2 linked regions of the Tribolium castaneum genome follow. The protein of the gene in region 1 binds, or shares a complex with, the protein of each later gene. Links are inferred from orthologs where the notes say so. Each region holds a gene or a part of one and is shown on either strand. Other genes may lie near its edges.

What was found.
Region 2: the proteins of Unr (region 1) and polyadenylate-binding protein 1 are in contact, whole or in part, in a crystal structure (PDB 7ZHR), measured with the Drosophila melanogaster proteins. The link is inferred for Tribolium castaneum from reciprocal best matches to the Drosophila melanogaster genes Unr and pAbp. Residues at the interface, in NP_648226.2 of Drosophila melanogaster: Leu843, Glu844, Thr845, Thr846, His847, Asn848, Gly849, Val850, Glu870, Ile871, Leu872, Asp873, Glu874, Thr878, Val879, Ile880, Ser881, His883, Leu902, Ile907, Asp908; in NP_476667.1 of Drosophila melanogaster: Asn184, Tyr186, Lys188, Ser211, Lys213, Met215, Phe225, Phe227, Ala229, Tyr255, Ala257, Arg258, Ala259, Gln260, Lys261.

The regions. Positions count from the first base shown.
Region 1 is NC_087394.1:5,348,774-5,364,577, forward strand, and holds part of Unr (cold shock domain-containing protein E1), read left to right. Parts: intron 1-5,098; 5' UTR 5,099-5,538; coding exon 5,539-5,632; intron 5,633-5,681; coding exon 5,682-5,995; intron 5,996-12,736; coding exon 12,737-12,916; intron 12,917-12,977; coding exon 12,978-13,177; intron 13,178-13,183; exon of another isoform or gene 13,184-15,804. UniProt on the Drosophila melanogaster protein: RNA-binding protein that acts as a regulator of dosage compensation in both males and females.
Region 2 is NC_087403.1:5,251,400-5,267,740, reverse strand, and holds polyadenylate-binding protein 1, read left to right. Parts: upstream 1-5,652; 5' UTR 5,653-5,899; coding exon 5,900-6,092; intron 6,093-6,237; coding exon 6,238-6,804; intron 6,805-6,855; coding exon 6,856-7,973; 3' UTR 7,974-8,325; downstream 8,326-16,341. Other genes in the region: siz (IQ motif and SEC7 domain-containing protein 1), read right to left, coding at 2,316-2,572; ScsbetaG (succinate--CoA ligase [GDP-forming] subunit beta, mitochondrial), read right to left, coding at 9,062-10,025, 10,072-10,171, 10,223-10,346, 10,400-10,456; pyrethroid hydrolase Ces2a, read right to left, coding at 11,321-11,460, 11,506-11,720, 11,768-12,224, 12,270-12,432, 12,478-13,002, 13,061-13,285, 13,327-13,437; cher (filamin-A), read left to right, coding at 16,220-16,341.

The sequences.
Region 1 (15,804 bases):
ATGTTTGTGTGGTTATCTTTGCTATAAGGTAATTTTCCAAAAAAGTATTCGGAACAGGTCGATTTATTTTTTTTAATTTTGTCATCATAGTGACAGTTACGTCATTCTTTTTTTTAATGACTTCCGACATTTTTGTTTACTGTTTTAAATGGTATACTTTTAAGAGCTTTATTTTTTATTCTTAACTTACTTTATAGTCTGTCAGTTGTTTTTTATATATTTTTTTGTATAATTATCATGAAAACACTTAAAATGACAGCAAAACAAAAAGAAATAAACGAAAAACAATTATCTCTTATAAAAAAAAACAAGCATCAAAAGAAACTTTGTAATTTTTTGGTTTTTTATTTTCTTCTTTATTTTTTGTTGTTTTTTTTTAAATTCATTATACTTACTAGAAAGATATAAATGTGTAATATGTAAAATTGTAATAAAAAATGTCAGTTGACAGTTGTAAAAAAAATAAAAATGACGTCATTACACAAAAAGGAATAACGATATATAAAAAAGCGATCTGTTCGAGGATTTTTTTATTGTTTCAGAATGTTAATTGATATTATTTAAAAAAATATTTATAGCGAATTAATATTAACTTATTTTGATTAAAAGAAATTGTAGAAAAAATTTGAAAAAGTTTACGTCTAGAGAGAAAAAAAAAATAAATACAATGTGTTCAAAAATGGTTGTTAATCAAGCCTACTATGCAATTTAAATTCAATTCTGGGTACTGTCATTTTTGTCAAATTTTTGATTAATTTTTTTTTACAATTTTTTGTATTTTTCGGTAAAATTGTTTCAAGTGTAGAATTTGTGTTTTATATTTACGTGATTTTTGTTGGTGTGTATTCTTTTTTATAGGTGACTTGATAAACAATCATTTTTGAACAGTGTGTATTTAATAGTAAACCCTAATTTTTTACGATTATTAGTTTTTAAGATATAGTAAAAAGTACTTTTAACAGGCTCACCCTGTATAATGTATGACAAAGAACATGCATCGTCATGCATCATGAATTAAATAGCTCAGTGCAAAACAGCAACAGTTGTAAACATTAAAATTTTTGGTGTAATATTCTCTTTCAAAATAATTGTTCTTTGTTGTTTTTTTAGCAATATTAAATCACAATAGAAGATTATTGTTTCATTTTAAATAATTTGAGTGTTAAAGGTTTAATATTAAAAATGTTTCTTTTTATGTTTCATTGTGCATATGTTTTATTAAATTTTATTATTTTTGTTAATTTTCCAAATTATTGTTGTTTTATGAAACACTATGAATATTTAATTGTTCAAAAATAATAACTATACCATTGTTAACAGCACAGATAGAAACTTTGCACTTGGATTTTGTTATACATTAATATTTTGATTTTTCTAATATTTTAAATATTTTGACTGACAAGGCGATGACTAATGTCAGGTTATTTTGCTATCACAAGGCAAGCTTTTGATAACTGGTCTTAAGGATAACAATTTTTATCAAAGAAATTCCTTTATTTTTTATCACAATTTTATTATTTTTCTTTGTTTCACTTTCTTTGAATACCTGAGAAATTAATTAAATTACATAACTTTTAAAGTGTTCAACAATCGAAACTTTTTAATCAATAAGTTACTTGTCTGTTGTGTTTTTCCTTGTTTTCCACGTTTTTGTGTTATAATTTTTGTCGAAGAAAAAGCTCTAAATTGAAGTGGAAGTTTTTCCAGCGATAGATTGGACTTTGTCAAGCTTGTATAAACTTTACCACGTTTTCGCATTATTTAATATTTTTAGATTGGTTGTCAAGCAATTTAATTTTTGTAGTTTTATTGTTAAGTTGCAAACGCTGTATCAAGTTTTAAAAATTTGCGAAGGAATTGGTCAAGGTTTAAATTATTACAGACAAAAAACACTAATTGTGCAATAACGAGGTTATCGTTGCAGGATTCGCAAATTACATAAATCACTAGGTGCCGAAATTAAAAACCGAACAAAGTTTTTTTTTAATTGTTGTAGATTCTGCCGAGCGTAAAATTAGACTAGACGTAAGCTTTGAAGAGGAGGGTAAAAAAAGAAGTTTTAAAATTGATGACCTCGAGGCACTTTCTGGAGAATTTGAATTTTTTAATTGGAGGAGGAGTTCGAAGGTTATTTTTCATTGTGAGTGTGCAAAAATAGCCACAAAATGTTGTTATTCGAAGAGTTTTCAATGGAATAAAATTGCAGGTGATCTGTTGTGACATTCTATAAATAAATCGTAAAATTGCCGGCTTATTTGTAATTACGTACGTGATATTCAACTTACTTTGAAACAGGATAAAAGTCATTTAAATGTCATTTAATTGGTCCAAAACCCCCCTTTGTTTCTCGTCATTTTAATAATCTTCATTAGCGTTCAGTCTGCGGTCGGTTCTCATTTGGCATTGTTTCAGATTTTCGCCCGAATTCATAAACAAAGGAAATGAGTTAATAGATTTACGTTGGTCATTTTTCCTCCTCTAATAATATGAAATCCATAACCCGTAATTAACAGTGGAAATTAATGAGTTTCTCGATTATTTTGTTTACGATTTTAATGAAATTGCAACTTGTCAGCAATTAAGTAAATTAATTAATCGAGGCAGCGCATAATAATAATGAACAAAATCGATGAGATTTATTTTTTTTTGGCATTCGTGTTGTTGTCTGCTCGTTGCTAAAAACCTCCACTCATAATTTACTGCAAGCAAAATCAATATTGATTCATTAGCCGACAAAATAAACGGTGCTAATAGAGGGATGATTGACGGGGGTTTTAATAAAACAGCGACTTCAATTTCGGTTTGGTTTTATTGTTCGTTAATTGTTTAGTTATGACTGTGACGTTCGTAATGCGAATGGAAATTTTAAGATTATTTATAGTCATTATTACTTGAAGATTTTCCGAGATTTACGCCATAAATTCGTAAAAAACGAGCTCCTGGCCTAGATTCCCCCGTTTTATATCGTTGTTGGATAATCAGCTGAGTGTGCAATGTCTCTATCATTTACCACCAGTTGTCTCGTAAAAAACAAACTCGGGCAATTGGTTTTATTTGCTTTATTTAATCGCAATTTCCGTTTTCACGACCTCGAATAAATCTCTGGGAGTTTTAAGGGTACGATATCTCATTCTGCCGATATTTTTCAAGGGTACTTGGAGACACGATTTCAATTCGAATTTTTTCCGCTTAGTTTGTTATTATCGAATCGTTAGAAACAAATGTAAAGCAAGCACGTTCCTGACATTATCCCGGATTTGGATTGAGATGATGAACTGAATTTTTAAGGAAATATTCAGAGTTCTTCAAACACTGAACATAAAGCGATAAAAATATAAGAATCTTGAGACATTTTAGTCTTGTTATTTTTCTCAAAAGAGAAAAGCTTTAAAAATATGGTAGATAAGGCGAGTCAAGGTCGTATTTTATCGGAACATCCACAAATAAATAAGTTGGTCGTTCGTGGATGTAATCTTGTAAAGTGATATAAATATTAGCACGCTTTTGTAATGCTTGCAATTGATGTAACCTGATTGATGTCAACAAATTCTGGTTTGGCTCATCTACTTTTTATTTTTTTAACAGTTAGTTTTTAATTTTTCAATGCTTTTTCTCAAAGCATTTATACCATATTTAACGTCAGTAAATTGGAAAGCTTAGGTTTACTTTTTTGAATTGAATTGAATTTTTTAATTGAGGTAAATTAAAAAAAAATTGTTAATAAAATTAATAAATTATTGAAATGAATTTTTTTAATAGGTAATAAAATATACAGAGTGAACATATAAAGTTTTTTTTTCAATATGCAAAAAGCTAAAATAAATTAAAGTTTAATGCATTGAAATTGTAATATTTTTTTTGACAATTTAAATATATTAAGTAAGAAGGTTAATTGTTAATTTTCAGAAAATTTTCAGCATTTTGAATATAAGGAAAATTTCTGTAATAATTCTGATTTTCCCCTGGTATTGATTTAAGCTGTGTCATCAAGTTATCGTATTTCGCTTTACTAATGTTTTTTTTGTGAAATTTGTTTTAAAATGTAGTTTTTCTATATCTTGGTCTTTTTTTTTAACTGAAACCAAATAATTCTAATAATTTGAATTGGTTTTTTCCATCTTCACATTTTTTTCTTGCAATACATGGTGATGTTACATTCAAATAAATTTTACGAAAGTTTAAAAAGTCTTCTAATTTCATTGAGGGGGATTTTTACAATTTCTAATAGAATAAACCCAATCGTTGCAAGTGAAAGAATAAAAAAATATTTTTTTCTATTGTTTTATAAATAATTTGGACTTCACACTTTGTCGCTCTAACATTACGCTGGTCAAAATTTCAAAATCTACAATTTTTGTAAATAATTTTATTTATTAAAAATAATGGACTTAGAGTGTTATCGCTACATACACAGGATGATTCACATAAGACTTCGAATTTGAATAGGTAAAAACACAACACGAAATACATTTTACAGAGCATCAATTTGATAATTAAATCATATATTCATAACAGGCGTCTAGTTACTTTTATTATCTGTATTTTGTGTTGGACTTTTATTTGTGAAATATAAGACTCCGGTTATGTGAATAACCCTGTATAACTACATAAAAGTTGAGAATCTAGATTTTTTTATTTAAAAAATACAAACATTTGTTATGTTTTATTTTTTATTTTTATTTAATGAACTATCTTTTTGGCGCATATTTTAATTAATTTTGCTAAATGTTTGTGTCTTAGTAGCTATCATTAGTCGTTACTATCTTGTGTAGTAAAGTGCTCATGTTTTAATTGACTAATGATTCGTCTTTAAAATTCTTACTTCGTTATTTATTAATTATTATTAACAGTCTAAATGAATTGATTTTCCGATGTACTTTAAAGTAAGGGCGCTATTTAAAAAAAAAGTTTTCAAACGAAGTCCGATTAATACACTGACAAGCTATGAAAAATCGAGCTTTCTTTTAGCGATTTAAATGTCGTACTATCAATTATTGGACTTTGTTACGAAAACAGCGGATTTAGACTAAAACCTTTCAAATTTTGTTTAAAACATGTGTGTTTTCGTTTTATTAATGCTGCTTTGTCTTTTTTTCAGCTTGTGTAACTAAGAAAAACTTCAAAATTAGCATAGAAAATTTAAAGTAAACCAGTATCAGCGCAACCACTGGCCTTGACAAATTATGAGCATAACAGCACAATACGCACCCAGCACGCATTGAAGACATCTGAGGATTTTTTTATTTATATATTCTGTTATAATTAAATTTTGAGTGACTGTGGATAGTAATTTTTATACCTATTGGATTGTTTTTCTAGTAACATTGTAATAACGATATATTATTGTGAAGTTTGTTGAGCATAATTGTACCTTTGTGACTTGGTTTCAAAGTAGGAGTGATAATTTTATTAGTACGGTCTCGGCTGCCATAATTGACTTTTGTGGGGTATTTACATATACCACTAACCATTCTGTGATATTCACTACACTTAAGAAACGATAAGAAGTGAAAAGATAAATCATTGTACTGATAGACTATGTCCACCAATCCTCAGTGGAAATCCTTCCAGCCGCCCGACACCATGAATCAAGACTCTGCCATCATCGATTTCAAACCAATGACCAGCAACGGTAATTTTCACCCCACACACTTAATAAAACATTAAAAAAATTCTTGTAGGCAAAGCATCTCAAGCATTTAATTTTACAAATCGCTCCACATCTAATTCACGGTTCGGGCAAGACTTTCCTTTGCTGCAGGACAAGTCTTCATCATTCAGCAACGGTCTGTACGGATCATCAAGTACCACACATACAAATTCTCGGTTTCCGATTGGTACGTTCTCGCTCGATTCGAATAACATGTTCAACAGCAGCGGAGACAGCACCATCACCAGCAACAACGTTTTCTCCAACGGAAACAACAGCAGCTACAACGACTCCAATTCGTCGAATTTGGGCACCAGAGAAACGGGCATCATCGAAAAGCTGCTGGTAAACATGATGTTGCATTTATACACACTCACACTGGCGTACAAATTTACATAAAGGACAGGCTGTGATTTATACGCTGTGGGGGTTTTGAAGCGTTTATTTCAAGTGCCAGTAACCGCATGGAAATTTTGACTCTGATCGTGAAATATTGATTTGAACGACGGCTGATCGACAGCTTTTAGCGGTTTATTATGTTTATGTGACAAGAGAGCGACGTTTTATACGGGCTTTTGCCTGAACAGCGGGAAAAGTGCGATTTTCTCTTGAGTTTTTACACAGTTTTTTCACATGAACTAAAACGTAAAATTACAAAGATAATGATTTTATTACTTTTTATTGTAAGATTTGGTTTTAAGGAAATGAATAATTTTAAAGTTTATTTTGTCAATTATTCTATTCAAATTATTAGGCTTTAATGATTGCATTTGTTTTGAAGTCATTCACATTTAAAAATCAATTGTAATTCAAAACACGTTTAGCGTCTTTAAATTTTTCTCGTAAAAGAATAAACAGCACTGTTGCATGAAATTAGGACGTTTAATATGTGCGTTATTTTATTTGTTAGTAACTTTTTTCTTTATTTAGGACGAAAAATACAGCAATTTTTCATCAAAATAATTTATTTCCTTTTCTATTTTCACATAATCTTAAGAGAAACTTGCGAAAATAACACCGTTTCAAATAAATTCTTTGAATTTTTTGCCTTTTTTAAACTAAATTTTGTGACCTACTATTTGGTGAATTTTTGGTTTATTTAGGATGATTGTGGGTTTAGCTGAAAAATGTGCTGAAAAAGGCAAAGTAATACCTACATATAATTTTAAACCGAATTTGGTTAAGAAATATAGCGTTTTAAATTTATGATGGAAAAACGTGAAAAAAGCGGCACAATAATGTAATTTTTAACTCAATTTTTTTACTTTTTTATTCAGGTTTAGTAATAGTTTGCACAAAATCTGCGTTTTTATCCGAACTTTTTGCTAAACTTTCGGTTTATTTATGACGAAATTTTGCTAATCACTAATCAAATCAGTTTCGGTTTTTGCTGAAAAATGTGTTGAAAATATAATTTTATATTGAATCTGGTTAAAGAAGTTTAGCGTTTTTATATTTTTTTTTGTAATAAAAAGGAACGCAAATGTAGCTTGAAATTAGAACGTTTAAAGTGTGTTTTTTATTTGTTCCTCACTCTTTGCCTTGTTTTTGCGAAGTTTCTTAAATTAATTGCGTTTTTGACTGAGCAACGTGATAAAAGATCTGAAATACAAAAAAGTACGGCAATTTTTGACCTAATTTATTGATTTCTAATTCTAATTTTTCATAATTTTACCAGAAAAGGCGAAAATAACACCATTTCAACCAAATTTTGTCATTTTTGTTTATTTTGAAATTATTAGGCTTTAGTGATTGCATTTGTTTTTAAGATATGCACATTTAAAAATTAATTGTAATTCAAAATGTTCTACGTAAATGCAAAACACGTTTAGCGTCTTTAAATTCTTCTTGTAAAAGAAAAGAAACAGCACTGTTGCATTAAATTAGGACGTTTAACATGTGCGTTATTTTATTTGTTCGTAACTTTTTTCTTTATTTTTGACGAAAAATACGCAATTTTTTATCAAATCAATTATTTCCTTTTCTATTTTCACATAATCTTAAAAGAAACTTACGAAAATAACACCGTTTCAAGCAAATTCTCTGATTTTTTTGTCTTTTTTAAACTAAATTTTGTGAACTACTATTTGGTGAATTTTCGGTTTATTTAGGATGAAGTTTTGCTAATCAATTGTGGGTTTAGCTGGAAAATGTGCTGAAAATGGCAAAGTAATACCTACATATAATTTTAGACCGAATTTGGTTAAGAAATATAGCGTTTTAAATTTATGATGGAAAAACGTGAAAAAAGCGGCAAAATAATGTAATTTTTAACTCAATTTTTTCATTTTTTAGTAATAATTTGCACAAAATCAGCGTTTTTATCTTAAACGTTGGTTAAATTTGTTCAATGTTCGAACTTTTTGCTAAACTTTCGGTTTATTTATGACGAAATTTCCTAATCATTAATCAAATCAGTTTCGGTTTTAGCTGATAAATGTGTTGAAAATATAATTTTATATTGAATCTGGTTAAAGAAGTTTAGCGTTTTTATATATTTTTTTGTAATAAAAAGGAACGCAAATGTAGTTTGAAATTAGAACGTTTAAAGTGTGTTTTTTATTTGTTCCTCACTCTTTGCCTTGTTTTTGTGAAGTTTCTTAAATTAATTGCGATTTTGACTGAGCAACGTAGTAAAAGGTGTGAAATAGAAAAAAATACTGCAATTTTTGATCTAACTTATTGATTTCTTATTCTATTTTTTCAAATTTTCACCAGAAAAGGCGAAAATAACACCAAATTTTGTCATTTTTGTTTATTTTGAAATTATTAGGTTTTAGTGATTGCATTTGTTTTTAAGATATTCACATTTAAAAATTAATTGTAATTCAAAATGTTCTGTGTAAATGCAAAACACGTTTAGCGTCTTTAAATTCTTCTCGTAAAAGAAATAAACAGCACTGTTGCATGAAATTAGGACGTTTAATATGTGCGTTATTTTATTTGTTAGTAACTTTTTTCTTTATTTAGGACGAAAAATACAGCAATTTTTCATCAAAATAATTTATTTCCTTTTCTATTTTCACATAATCTTAAGAGAAACTTGCGAAAATAACACCGTTTCAAATAAATTCTTTGAATTTTTTGCCTTTTTTAAACTAAATTTTGTGACCTACTATTTGGTGAATTTTCGGTTTATTTAGGATGATTGTGGGTTTAGCTGAAAAATGTGCTGAAAAAGGCAAAGTAATACCTACATATAATTATAAACCGAATTTGGTTAAGAAATACAGCGTTTTAAATTTATGATGGAAAAACGTGAAAAAAGCGACACAATAATGTTATTTTTAACTCAATTTTTTTACTTTTTTATTCAGGTTTAGTAATATTTTGCACAAAATCTGCGTTTTTATCCGAACTTTTTGCTAAACTTTCGGTTTATTGATGACGAAATTTCCTAATCACTAATCAAATCAGTTTCGGTTTTAGCTGAAAAATGTGTTGAAAATATAATTTAATATTGAATCTGGTTAAAGAAGTTTAGCGTTTTTATATTTTTTTGTAATAAAAAAGAACGCAAATGTAGCTTGAAATTAGAACGTTTAAAGTGTGTTTTTTATTTGTTCGTCACTCTTTGTCTTGTTTTTGCAAAGTTTCTCAAATTAATTGCGTTTTTGACTGAGCAACGTGGTAAAAGGTCTGAAATACAAAAAAGTACGGCAATTTTTGACCAAATTTATTGATTTCTTATTCTAATTTTTCATAATTTCACCAGAAAAGGCGAAAATAACACCATTTCAACCAAATTTTGTCATTTTTGTTTATTTTGAAATTATTAGGTTTTAGTGATTGCATTTGGTTTTAAGATATTCACATTTAAAAATTAATTGTAATTCAAAATGTTCTACGTAAATGCAAAACACGTTTAGCGTCTTTAAATTCTTCTCGTAAAAGAAATAAACAGCACTGTTGCATGAAATTAGGACGTTTAATATGTGCGTTATTTTATTTGTTAGTAACTGTTTTCTTTATTTAGGACGAAAAATACAGCAATTTTTCATCAAATTGATTTATTTCCTTTTTTTCACATAATCTTAAGAGAAACTTACGAAAATAACACCGCTTCAAACAAATTCTCAGAATTTTTTTGCCTTTTTTAAACTAAATTTTGTGAACTACTATTTGGTGAATTTTCGGTTTATTTAGGATGATTGTGGGTTTAGCTGAAAAATGTGCTGGAAAAGGCAAAGTGATACCTTATAATTTTAAACCGAATTTGGTTAAGAATTTATGATGGAAAAACGTGAAATAAGCGGCAAAATAATGTAATTTCTGACTCAGTTTTTTCATTTTTTATCCAGGTTTAGTAATAGTTTGCACAAAATCTGCGTTTTTATCCGAACTTTTTGCTAAACTTTCGGTTTATTGATGACGAAATTTCCTAATCACTAATCAAATCAGTTTCGGTTTTAGCTGAAAAATGTGTTGAAAATATAATTTTATCTAGATTCAATATCTGGTTAAAGAAGTTTAGCGTTTTTATATTTTTTTGTAATAAAAAGGAACGCAAATGTAGCTTGAAATAAGAATGTTTAAAGTGTGTGTTTTATTTGTTCGAAACTCTTTGCTTTGTTTTTACGAAGTTTCTCAAATTATTTGCGTTTTTGACTGAGCAACGTAGTAAAAGGTGTGAAATAGAAAAAAATACTGCAATTTTTGATCTAACTTATTGATTTCTTATTCTATTTTTTCAAAATTTCGCGAGAAAAAGGCGAAAATAACACCATTTCAACCAAATTCGTTGTATTTTTAATTTTTTTTTTAACGAATTTTTGCTAACTTTTAGCAATTTTTCGTTTTAAATAAATTTTGTTATCAAAGAAAAATTTTAGACAGAATCTGGTTAGGAAATATAGCGCTTTTAAATTCTTTTTGTAGAAGTAATTACCTGAAATTAGGAGGATTTACGGAATTTTCCGAAATAATGAAAGTAAAAAATCACACGATTTGTGAGATTAATTCGGTTTATTTTTCTCGGACTGCTGCTAAATAATGTCGTTTTTGAGGGAAAATTATGAAGAATTTTGTAAGATAGAGTCATTTTCATTAGTCATTACTTCATTAGTCGAACTATTCGGTAAATTTTCGGTAAAATAATACAATTTGGATCGAATTTGATTAAAGAAGTTTAGCATTTTTAATTATTCTCTTAGAAAAAAGTTACAGCAAAAGCTGCTTGAAATTAGGACGTAAAGTGTGCATTACTTTATGTATTTGTGATTTTTCGTCTTGTTTTTGACGAAATTTTCGAAATTAATTCGTTTTTGACCGAACCATTTAGTAAGAAGTAAGAAATAGAGAAAAATACTCTAGAACCTAATTTATTGATTTCTTATCTCATTTTTACAAATTATTACGTAAAAAAACAACCTCTTAACACAGTTTGATGATTTGTTTTTTTTTACAAAATTTTCCGAAATCACTGCTTTCGACTTATTTTTCTCGAACTATTGATAAATAATTTATTTTCTGGTGGAAATGCGTGAAAAGGACGACAAAAAATGTCATCTTCGACTCAATTTATAGTGATTTTTTATTCAAGTTTGTTTATATTTTGCACAAAGTCTGTGTTTTTATTTCAAACGTTCATTAAGATTGTAACTATGTTATATAAATGTATTTGGTAAATTTTCGCTTTATCTGTGATTAAATTTTGCTAATTATTCGCAGTTCTAGCTGATAAATGCACAGTAATATTATGATTTTAGATTGAATCTAGTAGAAGTTAAGCGTTTTAAAATTATTCTCTTAAATTATTTATTCTCGTAGAAAAAAAGTTTCAGCAAATTAGGACTTAAATTTAAAGTGTGCATTATTTTATTTATTACTTTTTGTTTTATTTGACGAAATTTCTTAAATTAGTAGCCATGTAGTAAGAATTTCGAAGAAAAGAAAAATACAGCAATTTAGAACGTAATTCATTTATTAATTTCTTATGCCATTCTTACAAAATCTTGCAAAAAACTTGTTCATTTTGACCCCTAGAAAAGGCGCAAGTAACACGTTATTATTGTGCGATAAACGTGTTGTTTAGATGCTCTGAAAATGCGAAAATAATACTACTATTTCAACACAATTCGGCGATTTTTTGTTTTTTTTTTAACGAAATATTGCGAAATATTTATTGCTTGTAGAATTAAAAAAATCGCACGATGTGTGAGAGCTAGCTCAGTTTATTTCTCTCGAACTTTTGCTAAATAGTGTTGTTTATGGAGGAAGAATGTGAAAAAAGCGAATTTACTTAATAATTTTTCATCTAGATTTAGTAATATCGCGCACAAAATCTGCGTTTTTATCCCAAACGTTACCTGAAGTTGTCCACTTTTTGAACCATTTAGTGAATTTTTGGTTTATGTGGAAATTTTGCTAATGAGTTGTGGTTTTTGCCGAAAAATGTGCTGAAAATCTGCTTAAAGAAGTTCATGATTTTGTTCTTATTTTTGACAAAATTTTTTAAATTAATTGGTTTTTTGACTGTGCAACTTAGTAAGAGGTTCGAAAAAATAGACTGCAATTTTTATCATTGATTTTTTGTTTCATTTTTACAAAATCTCGCAGGGCGCTTGAATCCAATTCAGTGATTTTTACGTTTTTTCTAACAAATTTTTTGAAATAATTGTTCGTAGAAGCAAACATAACTACAAAGATTTTGTATGTAATATGTTTCATTTTTCACTAATTTTTACTAAGGAATGACGTTTCTGGATGTAAAACGTGGAAAAAACGACAATTTTCGGTCCAATTTAATGATTTTTCTATCTAGTTTTAGCAGTTTTTTACACAAAGCCTGCGTTTTTATCTCAAACATTGCTTAAAATTGTTCAATTGCTAAATTTTCGGTTTATTTATGTGCTAATTAATTGCGGTTTAGCAGCTTGAAGACGAGTAAAAGTTAGTTTTTTTTTATTAAGACTTAAAAATATAACTGTTTGTAGTTCAGTTTGAATGGAATCTTATCGAGTGCATTTTTTTAAATCAGACAACGCAGTCTCGTCATTTCGTAATAATGTGGTGAGAGAATCGCACTTGTAATATAATAATAGTGTGAACCACTTGCTATTATTTCAATTGTTTCCTTTTTCCTAGCATTCTTACGGATTCATCCAGTGCTGCGAACGACAGGCTCGTCTCTTTTTCCATTTTAGTCAGTTCAGTGGTAATATTGAACATTTGAAAATTGGTGATCCGGTGGAATTTGAAATGACGTACGATAGACGAACCGGCAAACCGATAGCGAGCGCCGTTACAAAAATAGCACCGGAAGTAGTGAGTCGTGTCTTTATTTCCTTATTTTCGTCAAAACGTAATTCTCTTCCCATCACAACAGGTTATGAGCGAAGAAAGGGTAACCGGAACGGTTACAACCGAACTTCGAGGTGAAGGCTCCGGTGGAGATTCAACAGGAAGGATTAGTTATGAAAATCGAGGTGAATGTTTCTTTCTACCCTACACCAAAGACGACGTCGAAGGCAATGTTACGTTGAGAGCTGGCGATAAAGTCAGCTTCCAAATAGCGACGAATAACAGGTTTGTTAAAAGACCATTAAACAAAAACTATATTTATTTAATTTTTTACATTTCGGAATTCAACAATTATGCAGGAACCAAATGATCGTAGTAATATTCTTTATTAATAAAAAATTCAACATGTTTTTCAATTTTTTGACATAGAATTCGTAATATTTAAGTGTGTCAGAATTTGATGATAATAATAATAATTACAATATTTTCTTTTAATGTCAATGTATTTTCGAAATCAAGTGAAGCAAAGTTATAATTTTTTTTTATTGCATGAAATGGACATTTTATTACATTAATACCATCAGATTATTTAGACTTTGAAATTTGTTTTGAAATTAATAAACCAGATGGCTTCACCTTTTTATTAAATTTACATTCAAAATATTTTATAGCATTTTGTTTCTTATAAACAAATATTTATTGTAACCCTACAGCAAATAAACTGAAATTATGAAACGTAAATAATTTTTGATTTTTTTTAAATTATCTTATTTGGAAATCAATTTTCCATATGCACAATTTGTTTACAGCACGAGCGCAAGGAGTGCTGCATGAGTTGCGAAATTAATAAACACAGTTTTATAACAATGGTAATGTAATACCGATTTTAATTAATATGAGAAAAACAGTTTTTAATTAAATTAACGAAGAAATAAAATAACCAAAAGTGTTGTTGCAGAACAGTTTTGTCTTGTACGTGTACACGTCTTTTTCAGGGCTGTTACATTAAACATAAAAAAAATTTCACCAAAAAAATTTAATTTTGTAAAATTTACGTTCTCGAGAATGGGATTTCGCATATTTTTATATTTTAAGAAATTATTAAGGAAAGGAAGGAAACGCGCGACACCCACTTCGGCGTAGGTTTCTAAAAGAAATTTGAAGCTAATTTCTACATTTCACCTTTTTTAGCATTTTAGCATTAATTGTTTTGAAGGCGCTTTAGCTTTTAAATATCAAATATAAATTGTTCTTTACGTTACATCTTCGTCAAATCTACGTTTCATATGCTCTCAGCAATGTAAGAATACAAGAGGTGTTTTAACATAGTTTTACGGTTGTAACAATCAGCAATACTTATTATATTTAAGAATTGCTTTAATTAGTCAAATTAATAACTAATTTGTCCAGCAAGAACCATATGGAGGTTTAGAGCATTCTTGTCAGGAAAAAAGGACGTAAGAATGAGGTAAACAATGATTTTGAAAATGATGGGAATAAAGGAATTATTGGTTTGTGAAATGAAAAAAAAACAACACAAAAATCAATTTTTTTTCACTTGGTCTTAAATGAAATGCACTTGTTTTTATATGGCATCTGCTACCAGTTGTAGCAAACATTAAAAATAAATTAAAAACAAAACCAATAAAAAAAGCTTTACAGCAAGCGACTTTCATCGATTGAAATTAAAAGACAAAATCAGTACAACGTGTCAATAAATTATTTGAGTGTTTTATTTTATTTATACTTTTTGTGTTTGAAATATCTCACTCAAACTATCACTTTTCAACACCTCACTTAAAAAATTAAAATGCACTTCCGCTAGAGTTTGTAGCAAGAGATTAAAAATAAATTAATTGGGCATGAAAAAAAATGCACTAACCTTCATGACATGACGTCTTGTGCTTCCAAAGCATCATCTTCTTAAACGGACCTACTGAAATAGAATACAATGAAATTAGAATAATGTGCCCTTAAATTATGGTGCTATTTTCTAACTTCTGTTACTATGTTATTGCTCTATTACTGTAAAAATTACAGCTGTTATTTAAATTTATATTCTGTAAACTCTGTTACCCTCTGTTAGTAACATTAACATTCTTTGTTAAATAAAGCGCCATAAACTAACAGTGACAGTGAGAGGTCGTGAATTTTTACGATGTTTCACCAAATTAACAAGAAATTGCATTAAAAATGTGATAAGTGAATAAAACAAGAAGCTTAGAATCACGCAAACAATTTGACCTTTGGTTTTTAAAGTGTTGGAAAACGAAGAAAGGGGATAAGATTGATTTTAGAAAAAAATCAACTGGTATAATTATCCATAATGTTGCAAAGGTAAATTTTTGGCAATCCTAAATGGGAATGAACACAACTTAAAATTCGTCAGGAACCAAAATTTGTGTATATAAAAAATTTAACACTGTGTACTCTTCATTTTGGAAACATTATTTGTATTATTTATTTCAAATTATATTTTTTGTCATTTAATAGTTATTTCGTTTCTTTCAAGTTCTGTTTCTCCCTTTTGTTTTGTTTTTGGCAGTTTTGTACTGCCCAGAATAAAATAATTTATCCAACACGAGATCCTACAGAAAATATTTGAAAACAAAAAATGTGTTTTTTTTTCAATAGACAAGGATATGCTTTGCCTTGATCTGCACTCGTCTTCTTCATTCACTTTTTTTAACATTTTAGTGAAACTTTTCGGGGTATTATAAATTCGAAATGATAAGTTTATGAAAACTTCTTGACATTTTCGAATAAAATATTTGAATCAAAAAGTAAGTCATACGTCAAAATCGACTTCCATTATCTCTAAAATTACATTTTCGAACAAATGGGAACGCTATTACCCTTATTTTAACAGAGACAGTTAGAGAATCGCAAATTAGACAGCTGTGTTAGGCGGT
Region 2 (16,341 bases), on another chromosome or scaffold:
CAGGTAGTCAGATGAACCATAAAGGAAAAAATAAGGTCGAAGAAGAGCAGCTGGCGCATTTGGTAAATCGGGCATCATGTGTTTCATCATCAGAGAAACTATTAAATTTTAAGCAATGGACGTGACATAACTTATAAAACCTGAATTCATTTTGACCAATTGGTAGAAATTCATTGACATTATTAGATTAGTCATAAGTTTAATCGTGCCGAGGCTTCAAATTAGAAATAATGCGACAATACCATGGGAAATAAGTCGGCCGTCAAAATTCAACAATAGCACGTATCTTTTTTCGACATACAACCATACTAGCCTTGATTGCAGATATCCAGGAAACGACATTTACCAAAATTATACATTCATTTTTTATCATCCGAGATAATCACACAGGAAAAAGATACAGAAATGTCGATGCTTAGTCTACAGGGTAAAGGATGTTGAATTTCCTTCGTTACTTGGTTTAGGTTTGGATCGTTTCAAGAAGGTACATATATCTTAAAACCGACACGATGCACGTGTCCGGCTATCACGTGATGCAACCCCCAGGGGAGGCGAGGTGCAAGGGAGGGGCCGGCAGGTGGCGGCCCTAACGCATGTGTGGCGTGTGGTGACCGAACGAAAAGCAGATGTTTTTCGAATACTTTCGTCCCCCTTTCCTTCCCTTCGAGAAATCGAAAAGACTTCACTTTTTAAATGTAAAAGGAATTAAATATATTGTACGGTTTGCGCGACCTCGATTATTTGCGGCAATTTCCGCCCGCCTAATTCACTAATTTGTTTCAAAATTAGCCGCATACGGATGAAAAACATTCAAATGGCGTCAATTGTCTTGTTTTTTCTAATTCGAGCCGAAACGAAATTAATTATTCTGGGGATTCGGTGACATTGCTTGAAATCATAGAAAGTTTCGATAAATTGCTGCCATTGCATAAGCGACAAACTGGTCACGACGTTACCGAACAAGTGCAAAAAATTACGTTTACTAATTCGATAACAAATATTGCCATATTACGCTAATTGCTCCCACTTTGGACTTGACGGATGTGACGCAAATCTCGCCAAAAACCACATGGAAAATTTTTAAATCGGCAAAGATCAGATTTTATGACGATGGTCCGGGTCGAATTGACATTTAGAAACGGAAGTACGGCACACGATCGCCGCATACAACAACAAACGATAAAGCATTTTATGTGTAAATAAATTCAAATTAGGAAAAAGTACGTTTATTTTACATTCTAAAATTGCGTATAATTAAACGATAAAGGAGAAAGTTGTTCGAATATTCAACATTTGTGTGCTATGATAAATGGCGATTTTCTAAAAAAAGAAAAAACACATCTGTCAGGTAGGTGACATAATACGTTTAAATGTTACAACTTTTGAATTTTGATGAGGCACTTTACTAGATTGTGCCGAAATTAGAGCGCGTCATGTATTCTAGTGATTAATTAAGCGTTAAAAATTACTATTACAGTTAATTCAATTAATTTACAGATCTCGATACATTAATCTGATTTAATTAACGAATTAACGCGTACAGCTACTTTTTTACTTCACTCAACCTTGATTTCATTAGAGAAAAGTGTGTTCAACTACTGCCCAGTGCAGTGGCAGTAGCATGCAAGCAATTATTATAATAAGGTACCAACATTCCAGTTATCAAAGTAGGGTAGAGACAATTAGCGGGACTTAATGTAGGTATAACGATACCCTCATTTCAAACACCGTTGCCACATTTGAGCGACGTTGTCACACACCTGTGACGTAACGTGACGTCATTTTATACATCAAAAATTGCTAAAAAACGATGCTTTCACTCGCAAAAACGGAAACTAACGTGACATAAAATGCAGCTTACAGTTAAACCAATGTAGGTTTAATGGCGCATTAGCAGCCTAGGTACAAAACAAAAATAAACTAATACGGTAGGCGCATGTTAATTACCCCAACGGTAAATGCACAAGGAGGTCCGTGCCCTGATCACCCACCTATAAACAATGATTCATTCCAAATGACAAAAACGTGGCTTATCAATAATTTCTAATTGTGTCGGTAATGAGTGAGTAAGGGTACGGAGATCTATTGTGGCTGTTAAAGTACAATTGAAACAATTTAGCAATCAGCGTCATTAATCATTTAAAAGCGACTTTTTCCAAATTATCCTGACAATGGAAAAAACGCGAATCTTGTTCAGGTCTGTTGGATAAAGCAACATAGTTACCCAAATACGTACTTGTGAAAAATTGAGCTCTTTAAACATATACTTAGGTATGACATTGAGAAATGTGAAATGTTATTTTCCGGGACTTTACCTGATGACAGTGACATGTTTCCGGAAAGGCGGTAAAGTGTGACATGCGTCGGTAACAGTGACCAGTCTACTGACATGTTGTCTTCTGGTGGTGCAAACCACCCTGATCCGTTCTTGTTGTATTCCGGAGCGTCTAACTCTGACAACAGTTCTATCGCACACATCAACCGTATGCACAGGGTTCGACCTGACATGTTCGGTTCTAACTTGACTCTGCACGAAGGGTTGGGGAAACCCCCCTGGCGACTGTCCACGCATTACAAGCACTCACAATTCACGTACCATGATTGCACTTGCGACCGGATTGAACGGCGATAGTAAAAGTAATCGTACTTTCTACTTTTGTGTCGATCACTGGTGGTGGCCGGAAGCACTAGGGTTGTTAAATCGCGGGTTTTGTACACAGTTTGCGGATTACAAATGTCAGCTGACCGTGCCTCAGCACAGACAACCGAATGGAACGATCGGCACAGTTAGAAGAAGGCGAGCGGGGCTACAGCCTGACGTCACTTAGTCACAGTCCTTGGTGTTACATCACCACAAATAAACACCGAGGCAGATCAAACCCTGGTGCAACCTAAACCTGGCGCCCCGACGACATGTGCGACTCTACTACACGACCACAAGCCTCAAGGCTGATGCACGAGCAATTACCGCAAACGTGTGGGTGCTTGCCAATACCAAGAAACGCCAGCTAAAGAATCGCCTCAAAAACGACAGCGCGTTATAGACTAGCCTGAGGATATCCGTTCACTTTCCCTTATTTAGAAATCAATACGCCGTTCGACTGTGGCATATATGACACTTTGTGGGGACCCCGAGCGCGATTTCCGCCAAAGAGTGCATCCTCGAGGTTAATGACACCAGGACAGCCCCCAAATCCGACCGCCGCCTCCCTAATCCCATTATCCACAAAAACAAAACCTCCAAACAGGACTACCAACAAAACGCCAATTACCTTAATTTAATAAAAACCATCGACTTATTATCTTCTTGACCAGTGTGAACGGTCGGCGTCGCGACGTCGCCACGCATGCGCACAGAACCAAGTCAGTGGGAGGCGTCGTTTATGACATTTTACAACATCCTTGTCCCAGAAATGTACAACAAAAAACAAACAAACGCAAACTTTGCAAACAAAACACGACTGCCACTTTAAATCATTTGACGTTTCATCAATGAAACTGCGACCGATTTATGACAAGGGTCGCATCTCACCCTTGGAGGGATTTCCCCATTTTTTAATTATCGCAATAAATAAACGGGTGTTTGATGCCGTTTTCTCACCTTTCATCTTGCAACCGTTTCAGTTCCACCATTTCCAGCTCGAACCTCAGATTGCTGTTTTCACACAGCAAAAGATCCCGCTCGCTTGCAACTCCATCCAGTTCCCTCTTTAGCCGAATTATCTGGTCCCGTTGTTCCCGTATGATGGCATCTTTTTGGGCCAATAACGAATTTATATCGACTTCTATTCCTGCCATTGCAGGTCTCCTACTGTTCACACACACACGATCCTCAGTTGTTACGGTACCGTCCAAATTTTTAATCTGACGGGCATTTTCCTCCAGCAACGATTTGGTTTTTCCTTTTTTCACACAAGTTTTTCAAAAAAATTATCACATCTTATTCTGAAACGATATTGACAGACGAAATACAACGCGCCGCACTGTTCCTTGGTTTTTCTCACTATTATTCATCTGTCTCTCTTACGTCAGGAGCGAGAGCACAGAACAAAACGGGATGAACAAACCTACACACGTTGCCCCATCTGGAAATCCCCTCCAGTAACACTTCCAGGATGGTAACTTAGCGACTTGTCTTACCGGCCTACCACGAATTTCCGCACAAATTGCCGATAAAACGTGATTTCTCACACGAAAATGGGTGACTAACTTTGTTCACCTGCCTAATCAGCACAATAGTGCTTTGTAGATAAAAAAATCAGATAAAATGTTAATAACAATTACCATACATGGCCACGTGAGTAGTTGCGATGTTGCCACATTGCCATGTCCACAAGAAAATAAAGCACTCTTTGTTATTTTTGTTTGTTTTTAATGAAACAAGAGGTCCTCATGTTTCCAGTTTTAAATATTCTTAATCTACATCAAAAATCAAGACAACAGAAAATTTATTTATATTTATTCATTTTTAAACAATTTCTGTAATATATACAATTAATCTTGAATTTTAACTAACTCCGAAAAACTATTTTGTATGGATTTAACACAAAATAAACTTAGCCGATTACAAAATGAAGGCAAAAATTATATAAAATGTAATAACATTCATCTTGTTAGTCTCATCAGTGTTTTCTTAATCTTTGTTATAAAATATGGTATATAAAATCTATTTCTTCTCAAATATTTGTTATCTGACTCTAAAAAATTGCGTAAAAGAAAAAAGCACCTGTTTGAGCAAGTAAATTTACTCTCACTGAATTTTTGTTTAAACTAATAATAATATAAATCGTTATCATATACTTGTGGCAGCAGATAAGACCGTTACATATCGAAAAAAAATATTTACACACCGATTTATCAGTGAGAGTTGGTACTTAATTTTTTTAATGTGTTCGTTAAATATGAATATTAAAGCAAACTACTCTTAAGACTGTTCGTAATGCCATTAGTTGCTACCACACCATAGATGAATCACTCACTACTTCTTATCTTAATGATTACGAAAATATGTGAAAAATGAAGCTTTTTGGACAGGTCTCATCCTAATTACTTATTAAGTGCTACTATTAATATTATAAAAGACATCCGAATGAGTTAAAAAAATTGTTTTAGAGAGTTAGATTTCTTGAAAAAAAGAATTTTGAATTTTATAATCGAAAACATAAATTAAATAAATTTCACGATTTAAATGCTAAGAATTTAAAGCACGTAACGATTTCCGTTTGAACGTCCACAATTCGTTCTTTCAAATATGCCGCCACAAGTTTGACATTAGAAATTAGATTTCCGTTAGAAATTGTGTTCATATCAGCCTAAATTTGTAACAATTTGACTATAAAAAGTGTTCTGTGGTCACGAAAATTTAAGTCGTATTTTTATTAAACTTTTAAAAGTTTTATAGGAGACGGTACGTGTAAGAATTTTTAAAAATAGTCATCTTTGTCAACGGTCAAATTTTATGGTTTGGCAAATTTAGCTCGATTAAATTGAGATAGACGTCGGATTCTTTCTGAAACGATGTATGAAATCAAAAATGTGCTTTTTTTGCTAAATTGGTCGCAGGGTCCGTTAAAATTGATGTATTATTCAATATTTCATCACATGGCAACACTGGAATCAGTCATATCCGGCTTGTATAAGTAGTGAAAATGCTGTAACGACTCCATTTTGTTACTGTTGTTAGTGGTGTAAGCGTGTGGTTGTGTATCTTCTTAGAACACACAACCCACCTAAAAAAAAGCTAAATAATATTTACAAAAATCCAAAAAAATTATAAAAACTCATTAAAAACCCCAAAAAAATCGAAAAACAGTGGAAAAAACGAAAATAAACGGTTAATGTATATTTTTCGTTTCTTATGTTAACGCGTAGCATATCTGTGTAGTGTGCAAGAACGAAGATGAATCCGGGTGCTCCAAACTACCCCATGGCGTCTCTGTACGTCGGGGATCTCCACACCGATATCACGGAAGCAATGCTTTTTGAAAAGTTTTCCACTGCTGGACCAGTCCTTTCGATTCGCGTGTGCAGAGATTTGATAACGAGGCGTTCTCTCGGTTACGCTTATGTGAATTTCCAGCAGCCCGCTGATGGTAAGTGCGAACCCAGTGCCCATTTATTTGTTCCATATGGTACCCGACTGCCATTTAATATTTAATCCGTTTTGATTGTTAACCTTCCCCCACCACGCTCGCAACATTGAAATTTCTTAGAAATTGGTAAATGTTAATGTTGCAGCCGAACGCGCTTTGGACACCATGAATTTTGATTTAATCAAGGGCCGCCCAATTCGCATTATGTGGTCCCAACGCGACCCATCCCTTCGTAAGTCGGGAGTAGGAAATGTTTTCATTAAGAATCTAGATCGTTCCATTGACAACAAGGCTATGTACGATACGTTCTCAGCCTTTGGAAACATTCTCAGTTGTAAAGTAGCTCAAGACGAAAACGGCACCAGCAAAGGCTACGGCTTCGTCCATTTCGAAACAGAAGAAGCGGCTAACAAGTCGATCGAAAAAGTAAACGGCATGTTGCTCAACGGAAAGAAAGTCTACGTTGGCCGTTTCATTCCACGTAAAGAACGTGAAAAGGAGCTTGGCGAGAAAGCTAAGCTCTTCACCAACGTTTACGTCAAGAATTTCGGCGAAGACTTGACTGAGGAGCAACTGCGCACCATGTTTGAGAAGTACGGCAAAATCACCAGTTACAAGATCATGAGCAAGGACGACGGCAAGTCGAAAGGATTCGGATTTGTCGCCTTTGAAAGCCCTGAAGCCGCTGAGACAGCCGTTGAAGCTTTGAATGGTATGTTGCTTGTTGAGAGTGGCCGATTTTGTTTCTAATGTCTTTGTTTAGGTAAGGAAATCATCGATGGAAAGCCTTTGTACGTTGGACGCGCCCAGAAGAAGGCCGAGCGTCAGCAAGAATTGAAACGTCGCTTCGAAGCCTTGAAGATGGAGCGTTTGAACCGCTACCAAGGCGTGAACCTCTACGTGAAAAACCTGGACGACACAATTGACGATGAACGTTTACGTAAAGAATTCTCTCCGTTTGGAACCATAACATCGGCGAAAGTAATGATGGAGGACAATAGGAGCAAAGGCTTTGGCTTCGTTTGTTTCTCGTCGCCGGAAGAGGCCACAAAAGCCGTGACCGAGATGAACGGCCGGATCGTAGGTTCAAAGCCTTTATACGTGGCCTTAGCGCAGCGCAAGGAGGACCGTAAAGCCCACTTGACATCACAATACATGCAGCGTATGGCGAACATACGCATGCACCAAATGGGTCAGTTTATCCAGCCTGGAACGTCAAGTGGGTATTTCGTTCCAACGATCCCAGCCCCGCAGAGGTTCTATGGGGCGGCCCAGATGGCCCAGATCCGCACGAACCCGCGATGGCCGGCTCAGACCCCCGTGAGGCCCGGAGCCCAGGGCAGCGCTAACCCGTACGGTACCATTCCGACCACGTACCGAGCCGCGCCAAGGCCCCCGAACCAGTCCGCCGCTTTGAGGAGCAATATCAATGTGCCAAGACCAATAACCGGCCAGCAGCCACCGAATATACAAGGACGACCATTAGCTAGCCAAGCCGTTGTAGCACCTGCAGGTAATCGCCCAACTACTTACAAGTATACAGCAAATATGCGTAATCCTCCACAAGGTTTAGGCATCAGCAATGCTGCTCCGGTCCAGCAAGCTGTCCACATTCAAGGCCAGGAGCCTTTGACAGCCACCATGTTGGCAGCTGCCCCGCCACAAGAGCAAAAGCAAATGCTGGGTGAGAGGCTCTTCCCACTTATTCAACGCATGTATCCAGATTTGGCCGGAAAAATCACCGGTATGTTGCTCGAAATTGACAATTCGGAACTTTTGCATATGTTGGAACACAATGAATCCCTCAAAGCCAAGGTGGAGGAAGCCGTTGCTGTCTTGCAGGCCCATCAAGCCAAACAGGCTGCTATTAAAAAAGAGTAAACGGTCGCTTACTCAGACAAATAAATATAATAAAATGAAAAAAATTGCAAACATGTCTTACGACAAAAAAACTTATATAAAAATCGAAACATCATCATAAATGAAACTATTATTATGCGTTCGTGATTTTTGCTTGTTTGCAATTTTCACTATCTTAGTTAAATAGTTATTTCTTTGGTTTTTAGTTACTTTTCGCATTTTCCAATATCCTATTAATTGATGTATCTGCAACTTACTGAATTTGTAATATAAAATTGTACATTTCATATTTATTTTTCGTTCAAATTAATTTCTCAATCTTATGTTACTCTCTTGGTTTTTGGAATTTTAAAATAATAAATCTTAATAAAAACACATTCTTTTATTTACCACTTCACTACAATAAGATCTAAAAATAATATCTAAAGCACCAGAAATAAAATTCAAGGTAAGTATTGAAAGTACCAAAATAATTCAACATTTTAAAACACTAAAAAAAAGATCTAAGCTTACTTTTTCAAATGCCCAAATACGATTTTAAAAAATGATTGCGATTTGTCCAAGGAACAAGGGTGCTGTATTTTTTTTAATGACTTAAACTAGGATATAAGATGAAGGAATACTGAAAATTGTTTTAAAAAACTTGATTAATCGAAAAAGCAATAAAAAAACAGTACCGTAAAATTTTCTCACAAAAGTACATAACTTTTATCAAGCAAACTTCAAATTTTATAGTTATATTCACATTACCTTACCTGACTGCCTTAAATACAGAGGTGGGCAAAAGTATGGAACGAGTTTTTTCAAAAATAAATTTTCGAAATTCTTTTTAGTAAGTATTAGTACTTTTAGTATTTTAGAGCATAATCTTTTATCAAAAAAATTATCGTAATAGGGTGCCATTTGAAGAAAAAAAATTTTGAATACTTTAAAACTATTATCTGGGATATAATGGTGTAATGAAAAACGAATAGTATATGAGAAATTTTTATTAACCGAAAATACAATATCAAAACGAAGTAATGAAAACATTGGTCATTTGAACAGTTTTTTGTGCTGTTGACTAATGAGCAATATCAACAAATTAACACTTTATCAACAAAAACACGTTAGGCATTCTGCACCGCTTTTTTGGCGGCATCGTCGAGATTTTCAGCTGTTTGGATATTCATGCCTGAATCCTTGATAATTCTCCGGGCCTCCGCCGCATTCGTGCCTTCCAGTCTGACAATCAAAGGCACTTCAAGCTTCATCGCCTTCATTGCACCCACGATTCCATTGGCAATCGTCGCGCAATTCACGATCCCGCCGAAAACGTTGACCAAAATACATTTAACGTTCTTATCAGACGTGAGAATATTGAACGCGGCTTTGACCTGCTCCTCGCGGACGCTGCCCCCGACGTCGAGGAAGTTGGCGGGGTCGCCCCCATGCAGCTTGATGATGTCCATGGTGGCCATGGCCAAACCGGCGCCGTTGACCAAACAGCCGATGTTTCCTGTCATCCCGATGTAGTTCAGGTTGTATTTCGCCGCTTCGACCTCGCGGGGGTCGCTCTCGGTGACGTCCTCCAACGCGAAGATGTCCTTTTGGCGGAACTGCGCGTTGTCGTCGAAATTGATTTTCGCATCCACTGCGATCACTTTATTGTTGTCCGTTTCGACCAAAGGGTTGATTTCGAGCTGAGTGGCATCGACGGCGAGGAAGAACTGCCACAGTTTTTTCAGCTCGGCTGCGGCCAAACCCTTGAGGGGCCCCTTGAACTCCAGGAACTCGGCCACCTCATTGGCCATACTATCGGTCACCCCCTTGTGAATATCAATGGGGATGTTTTTGATCAAATGGGGCGTCTTCTCAGCCACGGCTTCGATGTCCACGCCGCCTGCGGGGGACGCAATTAAGACAGGCCCGTTCTTCTGCCTGTCCATTAAAATGCAAACGTAGGTCTCCCTCTGAATGTTCACACTTTCGGCAATCATGATTTTTTTCACCTCGATGCCGTCCTTGGGCGTCTGCTTCGTGATAAGCCTGTGGCCGAGCATTTTTTTGACGATATCGTCGACTTCATTGCGTCTGAAACAAACGCTCAATTTTGACAAAACCACAAAAAAAATTTTACTTCTCAGTGACATGAACCCCGCCTTTAAAACCATTGGTAAAGTGGCCTTTGCCGCGACCACCCGCCAGAATTTGTGCCTTTATTACGTATTCTTTCACATCTGCAAAAAATTAAACAGTGACATAACCCCAACTTTTATTAACACTTTTACTAAATTTATCGAACTCGGAGCATCCCTTATCATCAACCATGCAAAAGTCTTGCACAGCCACCCCATTTTTGCGCAAAAGGTGCTTGCTTTGGTACTCCAACAGGTTCAAATAACGCACCGGAACCTGAAAATGATTGAGGTTATGTCATGTTTTTTGCGAATTTGTAAAAAAGTTACGGAGAATTGTTTTATCTGAGTCGGGACTTTTAAAAGAGAGTTCCAGAGGGAAGACATTGTTTGGTTTTCGCAATAAAGGCACTGCACACTTATCACTGGTATTTATCTAATTGGGGAACAGCACGAATGCACAAAGTCCAAATGTCTGAATGTTTTATCTGAAATAATTGTCCATAAAAAAAGACGGAGCGAGAAATTGCTCAGTGACGCAACTTTCGGCCAATTTGTGGGATAATTAAGCAAAACACACTCCTTAAGTTATTTTATATTGATCTAGGTTAGGTTTTTCCCATAACTCTAGGAAAAAAGCATTGATTTTGATTTTTGGTAAAGGGAAGGTAATAAAAACGATTTTTCGATTTTCTTACGCAAAAAACTGTATTTTTTATACACATATTTATACTTTTTCCACCTGTGCTAATTAGGTTTCTAGGTTAAGAATGCGGGATTTTATTTTAAAACAAACTAAACGGGACAGATAAATATCTATTAGTTTTTATTTTTAGTACACATTTAATATTTTTAATAACTATTTACAAAAATAGGCGTTTTGATTTAAATAAGGGGCTGTGCTCGCCATTGGTGGAATCTATATGTCATTGTACATAAATGGCCAATAACAAACTAGATAAGTATGTACAGTGAAGGTCACAAGATAATTATTTTTGGACACTATTTTTACAAAGGTGATGACAAAAACAATAAAATTGTTGTAACGACACATCTACAGTCGAAATATATTTATAAATGCGTTTGTTAAGCACCGATATGTACATATTTTCCCGTCTACCTGATTCCGCTGACATTTATAAATAGAATTAAAAAAACTTAATAGTCCTGTCTTGTCGCCCAAAAACGTATCACAAGTGATGAGACATCTAAATATATTTAGTTAATTGAAAACTGGTTTGCAACTTATTTTTAATATCCCATATGAAGATGATTTTCCCGCTCCCTCGATCGCTTTTTCAATAAAACAATGCAAATTAGGAGCAAAGCGAGCAGGGCGATCACAAGAGCCACCAAAGTGTACATTGCATGCCGGAAACCTGCAGCCGGGTCTAGAACTTACCAAATAAAATGCAACTTTGTGAATTAGTTATTACCTGGACTATTTTGTAGCTCCCGCGGGATGTTATTCGATAAATTATTCTTAATATTGGCCATTTTTGGCACGAGCTGGTTCCAGAACAAAACCCTCTGGACGCGTTTTTTATTTTCTTCATTTATGTGGGAATTAACCGGCCCAAAATTTTCGATATAATAGTCCCCCGAGGTGTATTTTCGCCACGATCTGACCTGATTGTTTAGTGTCGGCTCCCTGAAATTTTTTCCTAGACTTTGGACTATTCATGTTGGGGGAAATACCCAAACATTATAAAGTTGGTCCATAACTGTTTGATTTGTCGACTCAAATTCATTTCGTTGGCGTTGAACCGCCGCCTGGCCACTTGCTTCAGCAAAATCGGTCCAAATACCAAGAGAAGGTCTGTGGTAATGGTCGAATCGGTTGTATTGAGAACAAACCCAACATCATCCATAAAATAAACATAAATTGGTTGCACGTATGACGAAATCAGGTGCGAAAGTTGCAAAAAATGTGGCGCTTCCACTTTGGCCTGAAACTCAAAATCTTTCAACTCGTCGTAGAGGAGTCTAACGTCCCCTTGGTTCGACGAGAAGTACTGCCACCTGATAAGGTCATAAATGTGGTCTTTGTTGGACGCCCCGAGTTTATACAAACGCGCAATTTCGGGGATTTTCACCTTTTCGACGTATTGTTGTAACTGGGTGAAGCCCTGACTTGCGAGTTCCAACCACTGCACTAAAAATAAGGGTCAAGGAGGGACGATTGTCAAAAAAACGTTACTAAATTGCTCGTCGGTGATAGGTTTCGAAATTCCGGTCAGAACGGGAACTTGCCAATCTGTGCCTTCTTTGAGCGCATTTGTGGGGTTCAAAGGGAGGTACCGGTTATTTTCCGGTAGGAAGGTGTCCACAACGGGCAAAAATCTATCGTTCCAGTTAAAAGACTGCAAAAACCGATGAGTGTCTCGAGTATGGCTGTCCGAACGCACCTCTGAATACTCAGCCAGAGCTTGTAAAATATGTTCCACTTTCTTTGATCGGAGACATTTAATCGGCTGCACGGTGTAAGCGTCGCAACCTAACATCCGAAGTATCTGCTTGGATGCCACCACCGGGTCATTTTTCTCCTGCCAGGTCGCTACGGCACTTCCACTCGAAATGATAACCCTTTGGAAGAACCCGGCGGTCCGCGGCGAAACCATATGAAAGGTCACGCTCACAGCCCCCGACTGGTGGCCATAAAGCGTGATTTTTTCGGGGTCGCCCCCAAACTGATTGATATTTTGCCGGATCCAGACCAGAGCGAAATACTGGTCCAACAACCCCAAATTTCCGCGCGCTTCGGCCGACCCCAAGCAAAAAAAGCCGAAAACGTTCAGTCGGTAGTTGAGCGTCACGACCACCAAGCCCTCAGTCGCCAAATCTTGCCCGTTTATCGGAAACTCGCTGCTTTGGTAAAAATTCCTCCCTTCGAAAAAAACCACCACCGGCAGTGGGGCGTACAGGCCTGCGTTCTGGAAAAGTCGCCACAAATCCATTTGTGGAAATCGACAAAAATGAAGACTCTCGAACCTCAGGCGACCAAACGTTGAGGTAGAGACAGTCCTCCTGGTCGTTAATTCCGGGCTTTGGGGGCAGCTGGGGGCAGTGGGGTGCGAAACTGGTGGCTTGCCGCGTTTCGTTCCACGGGGGGTGTTTCAGAGGTGGGGCAAATCTCAGATCGCCTGTCGGGGGCGCAGCGTACGGAATGCCGAGGAACGCGTTTACGGTTTTTCCCGTGTCGGTGATAATCCTGGACTGTTAGGGGGTGAGACAGGGTTTTTTGGACGGTGACTTACCCCTTCCAAAAGCCCTTGTTGTACTCTAACTGACGGGTGTCTCTCACGCCAATTTTGGCACTCAATGAGATTCAAAAAGATAGAACAAACGATCACTTGTGTTAAATACATCACGATTTCGCGTCGAAAATTAAATAAATTTATTCTGTTACATTGTATTTCGTCAATGTTAAATCGCTTCAGCAATGAAATGGTACATAACGATCATAACAAATTTCATGAGTGTCCATGTATGTGCTTCCGGTTTTTCCCTTTTGTTGCGCTTCCGGTACCATATCGAACTGTACCATACGCGAAATATTTTATTTACAAACAATCCTATTTTCACGAAGACTCGCTGTTTCATTGTTATAGTTGTGATTCATTCGCAATTATTCATTTTGCTAATTCTTTAAAATTTGTCAAGCTATGACTAAGTCCAGACGAATAAAATTCAAAATTGGCCATTTTCCAATCAAATACTATGAGTTTTTTGTGGCCAAAAGTTTTACGAATATTGTCTTACTACAAATCTAGAGACTAATTAGGAATGAGATAATTTGCATTTGTATTATTTATTTAGTATTAGGGCTAGACTATGCGTCATTTTAATAATAAACTTCTTGGGTGCTGTTTTTAATAAAAAAATCACACTTTTGAAAGTAAGTTTATTTCATCTTCAATTATTCCGCCTTTCGAGATGTTTGCGAATCGCGACCTGGTTTTACGGCGATAAGGGAAGCGAATAAAAATGTTTTTTATGGAAATGGGATAGTGCGCTAATTATCAATAAAACTTGATCCAATAATGGTGTGATAAAGTTGTTTGTGAAGACTTGGACAAGCGAAAAAAACAACATATGTTTGCTGTAATTGTGAGATTCAAGATAGAATGTAAATTCTCGCGTAATACTTCCATATAAGGCTCTGAAGCTTAGTTTTCAGGTCACATTACTCACAATTTAGTCAAATATAGTTTAATTGCATGCGTAACTGTTGATCTCGAAAATGAAAATGCGAGAAGGATTTGGGGGATAAAATTAAAGGCAGTAAAAAGACGGGGGCACAAAAAGAGCCAAAGATTCTTGTTGTTTTTATGGAGATATGTCTGAAGACAGTGAAGAATTTTAAGTGCGTTTATCGGCGCTCGAGCAATCGCGTGGGCCATTTGCGACTCCGGGGTTATTTTGATAGAATATCTAAGGTAAAAAAGGTCGGAGACTCGTATAAATTTAACAAAAATCGACATGTGACACAAAATATGGAGCTGAATACTGAAAAAAGTGGGGTTAAGTTTGAAGACAATCTATAAACAACCAAACTCATGGACGGAGTTCTATTCTTGGTTTCACACATATCTTTAGTTCGAGTCGTGTTCAGTCTTTCTACTACATCGAAAGTGTTATAAAAGTGCAATGATTTTACGGAGGATTCTCTAGATAATATCGTTAATAAATTAAGTGAGTACAATTAAATTCGCACCCCCTGGTGCATTTCAATTAATTGCGAGCACTTAATTGATCGTCTTTCATTCGCGCAAATCGCTTAATATAGACTACTCGGTACTCTCCAAAATTTTAACACCCAAAAACATTTTTCTAAAAAATCTATTTTCAAAGTTACGTATTTTGAAACTATTTATAATTCCCGAACGTTTACATGCAATATTAGCGTTACTTCATAATGCTTAAACATATTTATTTGTTCATTATTAACTGCAATAAACACCGCGAACATAAAATTATTTAACTGACGCGCTTTTTTATCGTAAAACCGTAAAAAAATCTGGCTTAATTAAAAAAAATTGGAAAGCAAGTAGAGTGTATTATAATTGAAATTTGTTGAGATTTAGTGCGACTACATTCTTAAGTCAGATAAAAAACCAAAAACACCGCAACCACATCCGTCAGAACGACTTCCAAAGAACAACTTCAAAATTTCGCTTTTTCAGTAATCTTGAAACGCAAAACTAGGCAACCAAATATACATATATTTTTTTAATTTAACTAAACCAATTAGATGTGAATTACTCGAGTCGCCCTTGATAATTTGTTTATTTATATATAAAGAAAAATAATTGGATGGCATTCAAATACAGGACAAGTTCGATATAAATAGACTAGAGATGTGTTTTCCTCATTAAATGAAATCTCTTTTAACATCGTAAAAGGGCAAAAGAGATTTTCGACTTTCCGCTTTTTTCTTTGATGGAATGTCACTGAGAAAGTTGGTATTTTTACCATTGCAGAGAATGACAAAACGTGATTCAAATATTCGAGAATGAGTGCGATTACTTACCTGCATCTGCCTACACATGGGTAAACCCAGTGGCGAATCTGGCTCATGATTTTTCCCCACAGAAAATCTCATCACAGTCGCCCTCTGATAATAAAAGGTTTTTGTTAATTTTCCCTATTGATCAGTTCTTTATTTTTTTGTCTAAGAACTGCAGCGGTCATTAGAAAATTTTTCTAAAGTTTGAACGACTTTTTTTAACTATTTTAGTAGCATCGTATCCAATGGGTCTAAAAAACTTATTTGAAATGTTTTTGTGACATAAAGTTAATCGAAAGTTTGTACAGAAATTTTTGCCATTGGTAAAAATTTGTCCCTAGTTAAATTTGGCCGAATTGTACTAATTATTGTCCAGTTAAGTATTTTTTTTAGTATAAGTTTCGTTTAGTTTGATTTATTTTTAAAAGCTGGGGTGTTTGAGGATATTTTTATTTAATATAGACTAAAAGATTAAATAACTTATAAGTATAGGTAGTTTTTTTTGTTTATTTTCCGTTTGATAAAGGTTTTATCATTTTATTAAAAAAAAAGAAAGTGAAAAGGGCCGTGGATGCGAAGAGTCGGTAGTATTGCTTGTTGTATATGGTGTTACAGAGGGGTCATAGGTGAATTTGATCAGCATGGCTCAACAACAGTGTCCCTACCAAAGCAACTTCCAGCAGCAGCAACCGGTCGAGGCTTGTATGCAGCGCGATGTGGACTATTGTGAGTTTAATGACGAGGACGAAATGGTGACGACCGA